2 linked regions of the Neodiprion lecontei genome follow. The protein of the gene in region 1 purifies or fractionates together with the protein of each later gene. This does not show direct contact. Links are inferred from orthologs where the notes say so. Each region holds a gene or a part of one and is shown in the gene's direction. Other genes may lie near its edges. The genes, in order: E3 ubiquitin-protein ligase RNF123 and ubiquitin-associated domain-containing protein 1.

Region 1 (9,151 bases):
AAGAGTCTTCACGGCTCCATTTGGTGGTAAATCATACAGAGTCTCGTTAAACTACCACATGACGGTCACAAATTACTTAATCTTTCTTACCTTGGATGAAAAAAAAAGAATTGAAACAATTTTACTCAAATTTTTGCGCACTGCTGCAATTACCGTAATAAAATTTTCCGCTTTAATTGTACAATTTTATTAAAAATTGAAATTGTATGTATATTTTGTATGTTTTATAAATGAGAGATTGAAATTCAAATTCAGTACTCAATATTTCTATTCCGTACGGAAAATGCCACGTGTGACTGTGATGCGGCGTTTTACTGAAATTCTGTGTAATAAGTCAGCCTCTAGGCTAAAAACAATAAGGATAAAGAGATTAAGCGTATCACGCACAAATATTATACTTACAATTAGTATAATAGTCCCTAGGAATAATACATGCTAGATAGAAGTAGATAAGTATTTGTATACGTAATTGCTGCAATGTTCGATGCGGAGTAATACGTTCGATATGTGGAAATGTAGCATTGAAAAATTCGACGATTATAATGCCGGTTATAGTCTAGGGGGAAATTACAGTGAAATGTCAGAGCACTCATTCAATTCGTCCCTGTGATAACGTAATACATAGACAGTCACGTCATCGAAATATAATATATACAATAATTCGCTGATCTAGAGTTTCAAAATTGCAATAACATTTTTCTGCCTACGAAAATGTATACTCATAAATTTTACTAAAAATTCTTCAGACATTTATCATGCTTCTCGAGTACTAAGAATGCCACACAATATACTCCGTATACCGTACACTATAAACTATTAGTTAATTGTATAACAATAGTGGGCGTCGCGATATTGGCGTACTGTCATTAAACGAATCATTATTATTATATTGTCTTACAACAGCTACATTATACTATAATCATACCGCCCTCTGATAAACAACGTAATAACATTAATAATCCTTAATAACACAAATCACAGTACCTATACTCGTATCGTATACAGCGTAATCGCCTACACTTGTAAGTATATTCACGAAAAGTGTATTAGTTAATTCATTGACTAATTAATTACTCAATAATTATTGATTATTCAGTCAAGCAATTGAATAAGGTTCAACTAATTACTAGTTGTGTCTAAATTAACAATAGCTACATTAATAATTAATGATAATTATAACTTGCATACGAAAATACGTTACATGTATTATTATTAATACTATTACAGTTTTTAAATTGAATAATTATTATTAATTGTATAAATATTGTCGTGGGTGCAAGAACTGATGACCAATCCTGGTTGAAAACATACCAAAGTCAGACCCGCTCATTCTCACTCATTCACAGCCCTTATACCCTTCCTACTTTTCATCCCTTCGTCAAGATCATTACCAAAACCAATAAAGACTCGATGTGTTATAGGCTGGTTTATCGGTTCTGCGAAAAGTCTTTATAATATTCATATTTTAATAATTCATAAATTTTGATTAATAATTATCGTCTCTGTATAGTCATTTTTCTACACACCTTGAATTGTTTTAATTGTGATTAAAACTACATACGCATATAATATAAACCGCATTGATTTTAAGTAAATTAATTTTATCATCATGATCCAGTTACTATAATTATTATACATCGTGTTGATGATTTTAAGAAAGTGAGAAAACCTAATCTATATTTATATATGTTATTATGCACCATATTCGTACATACTTGTATCCCTACGATTATCATAAGCCTCGTCAACTATAGTTATAATAATAACAACAATACTATGGATAGTGGTAATAACAAAGCCAGAAATAATTATAATAAACAAACGTACGCAGACTATATGGATTACTCAACCAGAGAAGTAGTGAGTTGTATTTTGATTTTCACACTTGCCAGCTGTATACGAAAAGCATTAGTAGATTTTAAAAATTGTCGAAAGACATTTTTTTTTTTTTTTCTCAAAGAATTATCATTTCATTCGTGTCCAACTAAACAACGAAATTTCTTTACCGTAATTGATAAATCGTATCGTATTTTCGTATCTAGAATATCATGCGGGTGAGAGCAGAAAAAATTCAAAAGTGAAACAGTGCGTTTTACCAAGAGGTCTAAGGTACGCATGCGTCTTGGAATATATCCATACAGCTGCAAATAATTTCGGGCGCGTCGGCGCCAGAACGATTTGCGCATGAGCGTTTCGACGTTTGGTGATTACGACCGAGATATTTTTCTTTTTTTATATTCGGTTTTTCGTGTGCTGTCACCTTGAGCTAAAATGGTGGCAAAATCATCCACGCGCGAGCTGCCCAAATCGCGGTAAATTATTCCGCCGGAAAAGCATCACGGACAAACACCGGCGTTGAAACACCTCCGATTACGCCTACATGAGCTTTTCTAATCCGAAAGTAATTAACGTAAAAAAAGGATGCCAATTAACGAGTAGCCGTTGACACGAGGAACCTAATACACATCGACAAATTGATAAGGTTTTTGGAAGATAATTCAAAAACTGAATGAAGAGAACTCCAACGATCCTCAATTAGGCAAGTGTTTTTATCTTGTGATTTTTATTTATAATCATTAAGGTTTTAGGACCCTACAATCTTATGCTTACGCAATCTACAGTGCTTTACGAATATATGTACACAGTGCTTCGAGCAATAGTATAGTATAATATTTATACGTCCATCGGTGTTAGGGATTATAGAATAAAAAATAAATAATATTGTGTAGGTAACGTATTTCTCGTTATTTCAATGTTGCGTAAACAAGTAAATGAGATGCAGCTTATCTCAAAAGCATACGTGGGAACTCTTTCCGATTGGTTTAGCGCATATCTATAATGTGACAAATTTAAAAAAGAGTAACAGACTTGATCCCCCGCACAATCATCTTGAAGTAAATGTTGCGTTTTTAAAACTGGCAAAATTTCGGTGAAATCTGGTAACTACAGCGTAGTTTTTTCGTACTCTAGTGTTTTGCTTATAAGAAATTTTCCTCTAACAATAAGGAATCGTGAGTCTCTAATAACTGTACAATAATCAACAGCATCTCACGATCAGCTTTACCTAAATGATCAAAGGAGCGATTTAATTCAGATCGGCACGATCGAACGGAGTGACGAAATGAACATGGCAGAGATACTTCGAAACGTATTTGGACCAGGTGTGCTAGCCGAGGAAAGCGCGGCAAAGGATACCAAAGATCGCGGAAAGCTTCCGGAGAAATCGGGATATGCGAGGTACTTATGCGCGATGAATAAATGTCGCTATGCACTTTTTACAAAGATATTCTGTGCTAATGATATTTTCCCACACAACTTAGGGTGGTTCGGTATCTTGGAACGGCGAATGATTTCATGAAAATGGTGCTGTCGGGTGAAAATGAGTCGGCCTCATCGTCAATGGTAGAGGAAGACGCGAGACCCGGTCGAATAGGGCCGAGAATTGTGCGTTTCGACGTCTCCACGCACCACGGTCTCTTCATCGTATCTCCGGATAGATTGAGCGTCAATTCTCAGAGTAACTTTAGCACGATGAGGGCAAACGTCGGTCTCTTCGCCGGCAAGTGGATGTACGAACTCCAGCTAGGCTCGAAGGGAGTCATGCAGGTGGGCTGGGGAACGGCTCAGTGCAAGTTTAGCCAAGAGTCAGGCGTCGGTGCGTTCCCGGGGATTCTTCTGCGGGCTTGTTCATTAACGCTATAACGGCAAAGTCGACGCGAAAATAGCGATCTTCTCGTGAGGAACATCCAAAATAACCGATTGTTGGCAACCTTGGCAAACGCAAGAATAACGCTACTTTTACGCCACCTTTGTCGCTAGCTATAGTGCCAAACTTTGTGAAATAGTCCACGGTCCTCGATATCCCTAATTGTTACTCGCGAGCATCCGTCAGATTCTCTCGGTCGCTCTTGTCGAGGCGGTTTTACTCCTCAATACTGACAGAATGGTAATCATACGGCGACGACGGCGACGAGAGAGTCTAGCGAGCCAGCGAAAGACAGTGGCGTCTATTTTTCAATTTGTAATTGAACCCGATTTCCGTACGATTTTTAGGCGACACCATAAACTCGTATGCCTACGATGGGAATCGGGTTCGAAGATGGAACGTAACGACCCACAAGTATGGGGAGCCCTGGCTCTCCGGCGATATAATCGGCTGCGCTCTGGACCTTGACCAGGGAGACGTGGAATTCTACAGAAACGGGAGGTCTATGGGAAAAGCGTTCGGGGGGATCTGCACGGGTGCTGGAATGGCCTACTTTCCCACAGTCAGCCTGGCGTTCACCGAAAATCTGACGGCTAACTTTGGCTCGACACCTCTGCGTTACCCGGTTCAAGGATATGAAACTCCTCAGGCATCCCCAGCCGATCAAGTCAGTAAAGCAATTCTTGTGTTCGAGTGGCTCAGGAAGGTGATACTTCTGATCGATAACGGACGTGAGTCCATGGTCGAAGATGACGATGATGAAGAGGGTAAAGTGCCCTTCTCCGAGACCATGAGCTGCAACGCTTTTCTTGCCTCTCTGGCAAGAGCTATCCTCAAAAATCTAGGACCACTTTTGGCGATACCTTACGTGACAGAGGCCGTCTTTGTTCGCTTTCTAAGGGAGCTGTCTGGCGCTGGCGAAAGTCCGGCAAAAGGTGCCGATTCGAGTCGCGTCCGAATCTGCCTCGATCTTCTTTGGACGTTCCTGGAGGACGAAGAGATGAAGTCCTGCCTTGAGAGCACCGTGGTCTATCTTCTCTCTTCATTTCGGCACGTATCCCTTCAACTCGAGTATCCTGACCAGTGCAGGAGCCTGATTCTTCTAACGAATCTCTGCCAGCACACTGCGACGAGGCAACATCTTTTGCAGCACATCCTTTTCGACAGGGTTCGCTTTGCTAACTTCGTCCATGTTAAGCCTCTGGATGAGAGTGGACTCGCAGAGGTCGTCGGTAGTACTTGGTGGGAAACTGACCCCGTTGATGGGGCCGTAGAAGTCAATAGGAAGCAGTATCTTCACGCCTGTGACCGCATCAAGAGCGCTATTTCCGGTATGTTCAGAACGGTTGAAAAGTGTGTTTGATGCTGCTGGTCTTTCACTTTTTGGGAAGTTTGATGAACCGACCGTAGTAGCGTAGCACGTAGCGTTCGAGACTTGCTGAACGGGAGGACTTTAGTTCAAATCCTCAGCGTATCGATGAGGACCTGAGCGACTACTCGCAAGATTGTTAGACGGGTGATGTCGGTCAGGTATCAAATCGACAAGCTGAGGTTTGCATATAGTCCCACTACACATGGGCAACGTTTTCTGCAGTTGCCCTTGTCCCTTGTGCGAATGCGGGTGTTTCTATTGAACATCTTAAGACGGCTACGGACGCATAGTGATTGACCATTTCCGCGATGAGCGTACTCATGCACTTGAGGGCTAGAAAAAAAATGTTACATGGTTTCACTTGATACCCCCGTATTATACCGATAGCATGAAGACTGATTAGTTGTCATCCTTTAATTCTTGAAGAGGTCGAGGCACTTCAGGTTGAGCTGCTTGTCACGCTATTGGACAACAACGACGGAACTCCATACTCGCCTACGTCGCGAACAATCTTCCTCAAGAAGTTTCGCCGCTTCGTCCAAGAGAACTTGATCTCAAGTCGCGTAAGTCGGAGCTTTTAGCGAGTCGCCGCAATGCGGCTTGTATAAACCCAAGCATTCAGTCCGAATTCCTACAGACGATGCCGGTGCTCCAGACCCCGCTGCCCATTACTCTTTGCTGTTTCCACCGGCTGCTGGTTGCCTTCAGGGTGCTGTGGGACGCAGAAATCGCTTCGCATCCAGTATACGTGCCATGCAGGTAAAAACTCCCCATATATTGAATCGCATTAATACTCTAAGACTGTTCTTTATCGCAGAGCCTTCTACGACGCGTCTATAAATTTCGCGGGGATAGACAGACTCGGTGGGGTCCTTTCACACCTGAACAAAACCTACAAGAACGAGCTTCTGCATCTTCTCGGTCCTGAACACGAGGTGCTAGTTGCAATGGAGCAGGCACAAGATCCGTCGAATCCTTTTTCCGGTGGACCAGCACGTTTAGGTGAACTTCCTCTTGCAATCCCTGCCTTTGCGAGAATGGTGACAGTCAATTCGTCGGGCCCGGCGAGTCCCATGATCTTGGAAAGGCTTGGCTACTTCCCTTACAGCCGGGAGGACAGGACACCGTTGCGGCTGGGGCCGGCCAACCCAGCAATGTCCCTCCTAGAGCTTCTCGATGGGATAATACTATTTTATCACGTCGCGGCGAAGAGACAGATTGCTAAGGTCGCCAGCCTTCGTGAAAGCATGGCCGAGTACATCACTGCAATGGCCGAAGTTAAGGCTCGTCTAGAGATTACCAAGAAGCAGCCGAAGGACCCCGATGCTGCTGCGATGAACCGCGAACTCGCAAGGACAATGGTAGTCTTCGACACTAAGCTCGCCGAGCAGGCGAGGCACATGGCGTGGGTCAGGGCGGCCGTTTACTCCAAGGAAAAACAAGCGCAGCTTGCATGGCTGCTGAGAGTGGTCACCTTGACTCTAACGTCCGCGAGTGAGGAGGGCAACATGTTCAGCTTCGTGCCTGACTTCTACCTCGAGGCCATGACCGACCTCAGTGTTGGGATCAGGAACCATGTACATCCAACCGCCCCAATTGAAGACATTCCTGAGTATCAAGAGATGCTAGTCGAGGTTGCACGGTTCCTGTGTGATCACTTCCTCGATCCACGGATTATTCACGCGAATGCAAAGGACACTCTCATCCTCACCTTAGCAGGATACGTTTCAAACTCTCTGACTCTTGGACCCCTCGAAAGAGTCCCGATCGAGTCGAGGGTCAAAGTCGTAAACAGTCTTTTACGGCCCTATGAGAACAGAGCTTGGGCTCAGTCCAACTGGGTATTAGTCAGATTCTGGCAGGGCTGCGGATTCGCTTTCCGATACGAGAAGAGTCCACATCTCGCGAAAAAGATCGGACCCAAGATGCTTCAGCAAGAGTCAATATCGCAGCCTATAAGTAAGTTTATAGCGATAGTACGTATTATTGAATGGCTGATAAAGAACTGGTCAGAAAGTTTCGTCACATTTCGGTTTCTTTTCCACAGAGCCATGTCCTTCTCTGATATACCAGGCTCACGTAAGGGACGCTCTTTTGTCAAATCCAACAACAACGACGCAGTTTTTGAACTCGCTTCTGAACCAGCTTAACTGGGCTTTCTCAGAGTTCATTGGGATGCTGCAAGAGATCCAAAACGTGTCTTCAAGACCAGAACGCGTCCTAATCGAGTCACGCCAACTTAAAATATGCGCAACCTGCTTCGATCTGGCCATTTCTTTGCTGAGGGTGCTGGAGATGATTGCTACTCTGGCACCCGGCGTTTTTACTGACGATTCTCAAGCCTCCAGTGAAAATCTACTTGCCAGGCTGTGCCAGGTAATACACCGTCAATAAATTATATTTCATCTCCTATTCCTTGATCCCCTACAGGCATGAATTCAATCGTTAATTTTATGGTTTGGACACTCGCAGCTGCTCTGCCAAATACTGAATCGTGTCAGCTCGCAGTCCGGTTGCTTTCAGCACGTTGTGCTACTCGATATTCCAGACTTGGAAACCGTTGACCACTTCCCAATTCTTACCGCAGTTGTTGGAATTCTGCTGATTTTGCTCAAGGAGGACGTATCAACATTCAAAAGTAATTGCTAAAATATAAAGTACGAACTGAGGCTAATCAACTATCGAAAACCATCAGTAGACACACTCTGCATATTGTACTTACAGCCGGACGCAGAGAAATTCCAAAAGTAACTAGAGCCCTACTTACTGAGCCCAGCTTCCAAATTGGCTCGCTTTACTTTATCCTCGGAGACTTGAAACCGAAGAATCAGAAGATCAAGAATATAAAGCCATTTTGCCTTCAAAACTGTGAGTAACTTTAAGTAATACGCCTATATTCGATGCTCGGTATTTTTCATCAATCCGTTGTTTCAAACATACCTTAAGACTTAGTAACTTCAAATTGGTGAAAGAATTTGAAAAATTCACTGATCACATTTCATTGACATTTTTTAGATAAAGAGGACGTCACCGAACAGGAGATAAACAGTGTAAGGGAGATGCTCAGATACTTGGACTTGAATAGAACAATGTTAACTGAGACCAAAGTATTGACCGACGACGAGAATATTTGTACAATTTGTTACGCGTATACGATCTCTGCGACATTCAAACCATGCAATCACCGTTCATGCCGAGCCTGCATCGCTCACCATTTATTGAACAGTAGAGAATGTTTTTTTTGCAAAGCTACCATAAACCAAGTTACAGATCTTGAAGGGGAATTGTTACATGACTTCACTAGTGACTACTTGCTGGAAAAGATCACCACTGACAGATCCTGAATTTTGCGGTGTTATGATAAAAAATAAGGTGACATGTTTATAAATTGTATGCAAAGAACAAACTTATCCAAGCATACAATTTCTCATATAGTTTTTTACATTTCATGACTGGCTTGACGTGGGTGTCGTTGCAAATATTGTTTATAAATTAGATGAGCAAAAATAAATTTTACCCACCAAGGTACTCGATCAGCAATCCATAATTCCTTTCAGCGTCTCAAAGAAAATTGGATGAATAATACTCGGAGTGATGAAAGGCAAATATTTATTATCAAAATAGGTAGGTAGTGAGATCACAATGGTTCTATAGTTCATTACAAAAATGTCAGTCTGAATTTGATAATTATTATAAAAAGTTTCACACTATAATATTATAATTACCAATAAAATCACTTATATTTTATCGTTTGCAATGATATCGTGCATATTTATAGAGCAACGAGTTTTTTTTCAGCTCTCATCAAATTGCAAGTATACCATTATCTTAAGTATATGTAGTAAAGTATTATCATTTGGTTGCCTTCGGCCTTCTGGAATGCTCTATGAAAGCCATATTTCAATTTCAAACGCACAAGCTATCTCTGATTCCGATTCTGAAACCTGTGACAAGTGACGAGGTTGATTTTTCCCTGACCATATCCTGTATGGACTCTACAAAGACAACGCCGCAAACAAACGCGCCTACGGCTAACAAAAATGCCGAGAAAATGACAATACACTTATCTTTGT
Region 2 (7,262 bases), on another chromosome or scaffold:
AACGTAAAAACTAAAATTACTTCGAATTGACATATATTTTCATCATCGATGAACTAAGAAACTCATAAAATACGTTAAATCACATTCATATTCGTTCAGAAGAAAAAAATCGTTAAGTTTTACCTTTGAGCTCGACAATTAACACGAGATCACTGCCTTTTGGGTTATTTTGGTACACCGATAATAGAATGGTGCGCGAATTAAAAATAACAAGTTTTAAAACACTCGCTCGCTAAAGCTCGCTCGTGGTCGGATGCCTAGTGTAACTGATTTTTCTGCTCGTGCGCTCGCTTACTCGTTGTCAGTGTTTTAACACATAACACAGTTGTAGGGGAGACTGGGATACGATGACTCCCCAAAAAATTCTGGTATTGGCTTCACAGTATACAGAATGAACACCGTCTTCGCGCATGTGACGTAAACCGAATCTGCTCGTAAGATTTTTTCTATATAATACTACAAATCACGTTTACAGATGCATGTAAGTACAACGTATTGTGATTTTATGATAATAAATTTCCACAAAAAATACCACAGAACAACCAGCTAAGTGCTAACAGATCTGATACACTAACCACAGCAATTTTAGCTCTAATTGAACGACGTTATTTTCATCTATTCCTATGTACCTATATAATGCCAAACACTCACCAATTGCAATTTGTTGGTCCTGGTCGCTCGGTTTTTTCCGATTCAAAGTGTTATCTGAAACATGCATTTTGGTTTGATGGTACAAAACATGACGTTTTCAATAATCAAACTTGTAAACTTGAAAATTAGTCCGGAAGGTCAAAAGTCACCAGGTCAAGAACCTGGACAGTCAGAACTACGTAGCGCTTGTCCTGGAAGTCGAGTTTCAACAGGTACTGGACCTGGAGCGCAGAAACTACGGAGCACTTGTCCTGAAAGTCGAGTTTCACCAGGTAGCGGACCTGGAGCATGGAAACTACCGCGCGCTTCTCCTGGAACTCGAGTAGCACCAGGCAGCGGACCTGGAGCACAGAAACTACCGAGCGCTACTCCTGGAACTCGAGTTGCGCCACGAAACGGACCCGGAGCGCAGAATCCAGGAGGTAAAGAACCCGGTACTCGAAATCTGCGGAGCGCGATTCTCGTACGTCCTCTCTACCGCGCGGTTGTTTCCAGACTGAGGAATTCGGCTAGCTGATCACTATAGATTGAAGACGTCAAGAGAAAAAAAATTTTGACTTTCTGAACATCCGAACATCCAAACTTTGGTTTCGAACTTCAATACTATGTATGATGTATGATGTATGACGTATGATGATAAGATATGATGTATAATGATTTTAGTTCTTACATTTCGGACAAGAAATACGCACTTTATCTTCCTTGCCGATTCCAGACTCAATCGGCTAGGCCCATCGATGGTCAGCTGTTGACTAAAGATATATTCTTTAGTCAACGGGTCAGCTAATAACGCTGCCGTTCTGCGACAGTTGTATGATAAAAACTTTTGCTCGTACCTTTCAAATGTGTTTTAAAATACACTCGAAGTATTAAGAAGCTTCGTTCTATCTCTCTCTATCAAAGAAAAAAAAATCGCCGACAATCACCTTTTTAGGTCTTTAAAGCAGGACACTGCGTTAAATACTGTCTCATATACGGAGCATCCATGTCATCTCGATCAAAATTAGCGCATCCGTGATGTATTACAGTTACTCTGAATTTTTTTCCCATACGAACACTTTTCGAAAAACGAGTCTGCTTCTCTACCAAACGTAGATACTTCAATTGCGACTAGCTAAAACAGCGTTTCGATTCTATGCCTACGAAAATTCAAGATCGAGAGAGCAAATGAAAAGTTGTTGGAATAATTATGAATATTAATGGCGGTTTTTGGCGCGATTTTACAAGGCCACAAGGACCCAAGCTGGATTATGACAATCTGAGTTGGCAACACTGTTTAAACTGCGTGCAAATGGCCGCCGTTGCGGGCAAACGTCAAAATAATACGAACGGAAATATTCAAGGTAAAATAACGACTACCAGAATTTTAAGGTCAAGGTATTTTTATTGCCATCGGAAGTAAAAAATTTAGCGTAATCGTGTTGCACTCGCGCTGTATCCGGAATATGTCAACTTCGCGTACTTGAGCACTCTAATCTGGCTTAACCTAAATCTTTCATATTGAGAAATGAATAGTCAGTTATGGATTAACGATTAACTCTGACTTGACGACGATGTAAAATAACACTCATAAATCACCTAATACTAGAACTACCCTGTGATCAAAGACACGTGTATTCGAACGCTGCTTTAAACTCCCGAAAAATTGGACAACATACGTATTAGTTTTTTTATTGTCCAGGGCTACTTGATGTTTCCATGGATGCGTGGACAAATACTGGAAGCCTGGAGTAGCAGACGGAGCTCTCGAGAAGCCGGGAGGCGCTCCTCGGCTCTCTCTTCTGCGGACCCAGGAAATCCCTCTAGAAATTCAGGTGTTACAATGTTTGTGTCACCACAGTCAATCCCTGAGAGTTTCTCAGTTAACATTATCAGGTTTGCATTTCATTACCTATAAAAAAAACCATTCGACCATGCACTCTCGTACTATGAAGTTATGAAAAAGTGTACTCTACTTCCTTTCGGTTTAAAAACAATATTCTGAAAATCAGTGAAAAGCCACCATGTGCGTACAAGTTGCCACTATTTCTATTATCGCTTTATATTACATTTGAAAGAGAATAATATTTAACAAATACTACATGAGAAAATAGATAGAATGTAATAAAAACAAATGTGAATTTAAATTTTCTTAACCCTCTGCCGTACTTTGACGAATCTGACTCGTGATACATATTTCGTATCAAACATGAAGATCACGAGTCAGACACGTAGACTGAAGATTAGGCTCATATTGCAGCTGTTTTCAGCATCACTCTAGCCTATTTAGCGCGCATCGTCTCATATTGCTTGGGCTCAGATCTTGCCGAACTAAATGGTACGGCGAGGGGTTAATATCCATTTTCTCAATTGCCCTGGCGATTTTGAATAGGATTTTCACAGTTATATAGAATTAAGTATCAGAAAATATTGTATATAATAATATCATTACTCAGGTTAAAGATATTAAACATTTAACTAGTTACTACATTATTGTGTAGAGAAGTTTTGGTGGTTGTATTATAAAGTTCACCAATTTTAAATGTCGAGCAGAATAACCGCTATGTTTAATGTACCCAAATTTGAGAGATTACTTAGGTACATTCGTCATGTTCAAGAATGAAGGAACAGATCGTAATCACCACAATAATATTTTCAGTTTGGAGGGCCATGTGTTTGGCATCAACATCAAGCCAGACTTTACTATAGAAAAAATTAAAGCAGTCGCAACTAAACACTTTTATGGACAAGACACATCAAAGCCTTCATCATGCTTTAGATTAGTTCATGCAACAAAACTAAAATCGTTATCTGATGAAAAAAAAGCAGAGGAAGAGGGCATTGAAAAGTTTGGTGAGTATCGCAAAATTTGGAAGTAAATTGAATAGGATATTGCTAAAGACGTAAAAAAAACGTGTGCAACAGAAGTGATACTTCTGCAATTTATATAAGTGATTCACCATGGCTTCAACAACTCGGTAACAGAGAGAGGAGACTGAGGATAGGTAATCCTGTGTGTAGTTTGCGTTTCATAACAGTGCTTTATATAGTGGTACGTGTCAAAACATTACGTTTCATAGCAGCACATTTCATTGCAGTGCGTTTCAAAACATCGCGTTTTACAACATTCTGTTATTATCCCTGCTAAAGAAGTTTCACTTCAATAGCAAAATCGAATTTTGGAAAATGATTGAGGCTGGTTCAATGTCAGTTTCCTTCGATGATTTCTGGTGATTTTTTGTTTCAGATGAGTTGCTGATGGTTGAGATCCATCCAGTTATAATAAAAGAAAATCTAACAGAAGAGATTCTAAAAGGACCCAGTGAGGAGGTGATAGCTCGAATCACGGCAGGACTTCCAATTAAAAACCCATCACGACCTGCGCCCAGTGCCGATTGCCCAGCTGATGTAAATATTTCATAATGATAAAATATGAGTTTTGTAGTATTGTTTTATTCTTAGAAAACTATGTTTTATTAGAAAGATTTTGAAAAGTTTATCGAGGTAAGAAAGTGTGCTAATAATTATTAGGCTAATGATAAGTATTGAGTAAAATACAATGATTAAACGCACAACATGGACAGTTTCAGAATGAAATAAGAAAGATTCTCATCACACTGGTCCAAACTTCTGCAAAGATTTTAAATCATAGTCCTGAAGCAGCTAAAATTTATGAAGTAATTAGGGAAAGATGGGAGACCAGATGCAAACCGCCAAATGATCCCAAGTCTGTTAAATATCTCATGGATATGGGCTTCTCGGAGAAGAAAGTATTGAAAGCTCTACGGCTCAGGAAGTAAGTAACATTAGCATCATTGCATGAATGTGCAAATTTCTTTTCCTTACTTGTTTATTCATCATTGGTAAGGATGAATACTTCTGAAGCACTTGAGTGGCTCATAGAGCATGGAGATGATCCAGATGAAGAAGATTTTGAGCTACCATCGTTAGACGCGAGCCTAGATGTGGATACAGGAGGACCTAGTTCCTCAGGAACTTCGGGCAGAAGGAGAAGTCTCAAGGAAGCATGTGTCGATTTATTCAAAGGAGGTAATGTTGCAGTTTAGCTAACTTGCTCAACTTACGACTGCTTTATGGCATGTACTCTTACCGCATAGGCAAGTTGAATTTAATACGTTCCTCTTTACCGAAAATTCGCTCTGATTAAGTCTCGAGGCGATAATTTATTCAGAATATGAATATTGTCCTCAACTCAATGCTGGGTAATTATTGAACAGGTAGTCAGAGTTCCAAGAGAGAGCCAAACTTGATTAACGTCGTCGCTCTGCTGTTAGAGTCTTTTCGTCAGTTCAAAAAACTCGATTTCAAACCAAACACGAGGGTGATATCCTCACTTCAAGAGATGGGGTTTGAGGAGAAGAAAATCATAGAAGCACTGAAAGTCACTGGAAATAATCAACCAAATGCAGTACGTTGCTAGATTTTCTATTCTACTATATTACTGAGTATTTTAAGATTTTCATCAATTCTTGTTTAACCTAAAACATTCGAGAAAAATTAGTAACAAATATTATTGACACTCAACTTCAATTTCATAACGATTAAAACATAGAAAATGATCATTGGCATAATTGTGATTTTTTTTTTTTGTGTGTCAACACCAAAATGAGTTTTAAATTCACATTAAATGTCAAAGCAAAAGCAGATTTTTTACCATCGATGTCAAATTCTTCAAGAGTTGTTTATATTTTCAGTGCGAATGGCTCTTAGGTGAGAGACGCCCTAGCTTAGAAGATTTGGACGAAGGCCTGGACCCTGACGGGCCAATTTATAAAGCAATTATGTCAAACCCTCACATACAACTCAGTCTCACCAGTCCAAAAATGTTACTAGGTGAGTCAAAAAACAAACGACGTTTTCTATGAGATTATATTCGAGAGTTACTGAATGCCAAATACTTGAGAATAAAATTTACACCTTTCAGCATACTTATCGATGCTAGAGAGTCCAATGTCAGCGAATATCTGGATAAATGACCCAGAAGCTTCACCAGTGTTGAGCCAAATTTTCAAAACCTACCATGCGGAAAAACATGCTATTCACATGAATCGTTTTGTTGAGAGCTAACAGTAGCAGAGTATAGAAACTGTTTCAGAATCACAGAAAAAAAATGAAAAAAAAAAAAGAATTATAATGCCTAGTACAAATTTAAAAAATTTTAAATATAATTCATGATACGTTGAAGATAAGTTACTGTTATTAACTGCCTGGCATGTTAAAGTTCATTCTAGTCAATATTAAAACAAAATATAAATTATCGTTAAAGTATTTATGCTATTCGTTCGTTACTTACTCAGTAGCAAATAGTGATATGTAATAGTAAAAAAGGTACTATCATTGTGAGGAAAGTATATAAAGTGCTTGATATTTATTCCTAACGATATTTAACGAATTTTACATGTAATAATTGCTACTATTACGCATATGAAATGGTATACAAACTATTATGTATACTCGCGTACACCAACAAATATATTTTTATATTAAAATGGGCCTTCAAGATCTAGTTTATATACCTATTTCAATTCAAAATGGCATGCATAATTTTAAACTATTTTTTTCGAGCGAAGTTCAATGTCGAAAGAAAACTTTGTTAAACGCTGAAGCAAATAAACTCTGTCTGAAATCATTAGCATTTACTCAGTTCCCGGAAGTGCATATGCATACCTACTTGTGCCCTATCTTTCAGCTACGACGAATCATTTTACGGAAAATTTGTTATTGGCAATTCTACATACTTCATTGCGAGTCGGTGTACATTCGATTAAACTAGGTGCAAGGAACATGTTGCGAAATATAAATTTGTTAAAAACGTCCATAATACACACCGGAAGTGGACGTTTTGAATTCAACAGTTTTTCTTCACAATTTGAATTGCCATATCGACCATGTTATCAATGTTTCCGAGATTTTTTTTCCACTTTGGTCTCTTCTTTTTTCCCAAAACGCTGTTCCAATTTATTTTACTTCTCATCATTAAACTTTTACTATTGATAATTCCTGGTACAATATCAACATCTTTGGAACCTGTGTCACTTATTATATTGACCACCGAACTTGTATCCACTGTGTCCATCGAATCCAACTGCCACGGTAGTATTCCAATTGGACAACTTCCCCAATCAACACTTTTTTCTACGAAAAATAAATTTGTTTTACAGTTAACTGAACGAAATATGCCATTTTTCCTATAGTTAGATATTCTTCTGGTGGTTGGGTTTAAACTGAAATACTAATTCGTAGTTGATAAAATAACTGTACCTTTTTCAAGTATCCAGTTTGAATTTCTGGTTGTTAGATCTGCTATTTTAATATTATCTTCGAAATTGAACTGTTCCAATCGCTCATCACTTCTGATATTTTCATTGATATGATCTTCAAACAATGCAGTAAAATCATTGATGGTTTTGACATTTTCGTTACCAACTAATTCAGTCTGGTCTTCAATATTTTGCCCTGCTGTATAAATACTGATAAAATGAATAAGATTTTCCCTGACGTCATCCCTTATGCTGGGTGTTATCAGTTCCAAAAGTGGTTCAACGAAATGATTAGAAAATTTGCTATTCAGATTAGAAATGATTGTTCTAACAAAATCTATATCAGTCAAG

What was found.
Region 2: the proteins of E3 ubiquitin-protein ligase RNF123 (region 1) and ubiquitin-associated domain-containing protein 1 purify together in Homo sapiens (affinity purification with mass spectrometry; 7 studies listed by BioGRID and IntAct, counting the BioPlex papers as one, with this or other methods). This does not show direct contact. The link is inferred for Neodiprion lecontei from reciprocal best matches to the Homo sapiens genes RNF123 and UBAC1.

What each region holds. Positions count from the first base shown.
Region 1 is NC_060260.1:40,200,240-40,209,390, reverse strand, and holds E3 ubiquitin-protein ligase RNF123, read left to right. Parts: upstream 1-1,987; 5' UTR 1,988-2,539; intron 2,540-3,044; exon of another isoform or gene 3,045-3,094; 5' UTR 3,095-3,121; coding exon 3,122-3,237; intron 3,238-3,320; coding exon 3,321-3,655; intron 3,656-4,053; coding exon 4,054-5,037; intron 5,038-5,504; coding exon 5,505-5,641; intron 5,642-5,700; coding exon 5,701-5,837; intron 5,838-5,895; coding exon 5,896-7,037; intron 7,038-7,125; coding exon 7,126-7,454; intron 7,455-7,550; coding exon 7,551-7,716; intron 7,717-7,802; coding exon 7,803-7,946; intron 7,947-8,093; coding exon 8,094-8,422; 3' UTR 8,423-8,984; downstream 8,985-9,151. Other genes in the region: putative sodium-coupled neutral amino acid transporter 7, read right to left, coding at 8,985-9,151. UniProt on the Homo sapiens protein: Catalytic subunit of the KPC complex that acts as E3 ubiquitin-protein ligase. Promotes the ubiquitination and proteasome-mediated degradation of CDKN1B which is the cyclin-dependent kinase inhibitor at the G0-G1 transition of the cell cycle.
Region 2 is NC_060261.1:28,609,097-28,616,358, forward strand, and holds ubiquitin-associated domain-containing protein 1, read left to right. Parts: upstream 1-2,341; coding exon 2,342-2,526; intron 2,527-3,289; coding exon 3,290-3,483; intron 3,484-3,877; coding exon 3,878-4,038; intron 4,039-4,214; coding exon 4,215-4,426; intron 4,427-4,476; exon of another isoform or gene 4,477-4,498; coding exon 4,499-4,680; exon of another isoform or gene 4,681-4,868; coding exon 4,869-5,059; exon of another isoform or gene 5,060-5,345; coding exon 5,346-5,484; exon of another isoform or gene 5,485-5,575; coding exon 5,576-5,718; 3' UTR 5,719-5,840; downstream 5,841-7,262. Other genes in the region: uncharacterized protein LOC107225833, read right to left, coding at 6,500-6,786, 6,913-7,262.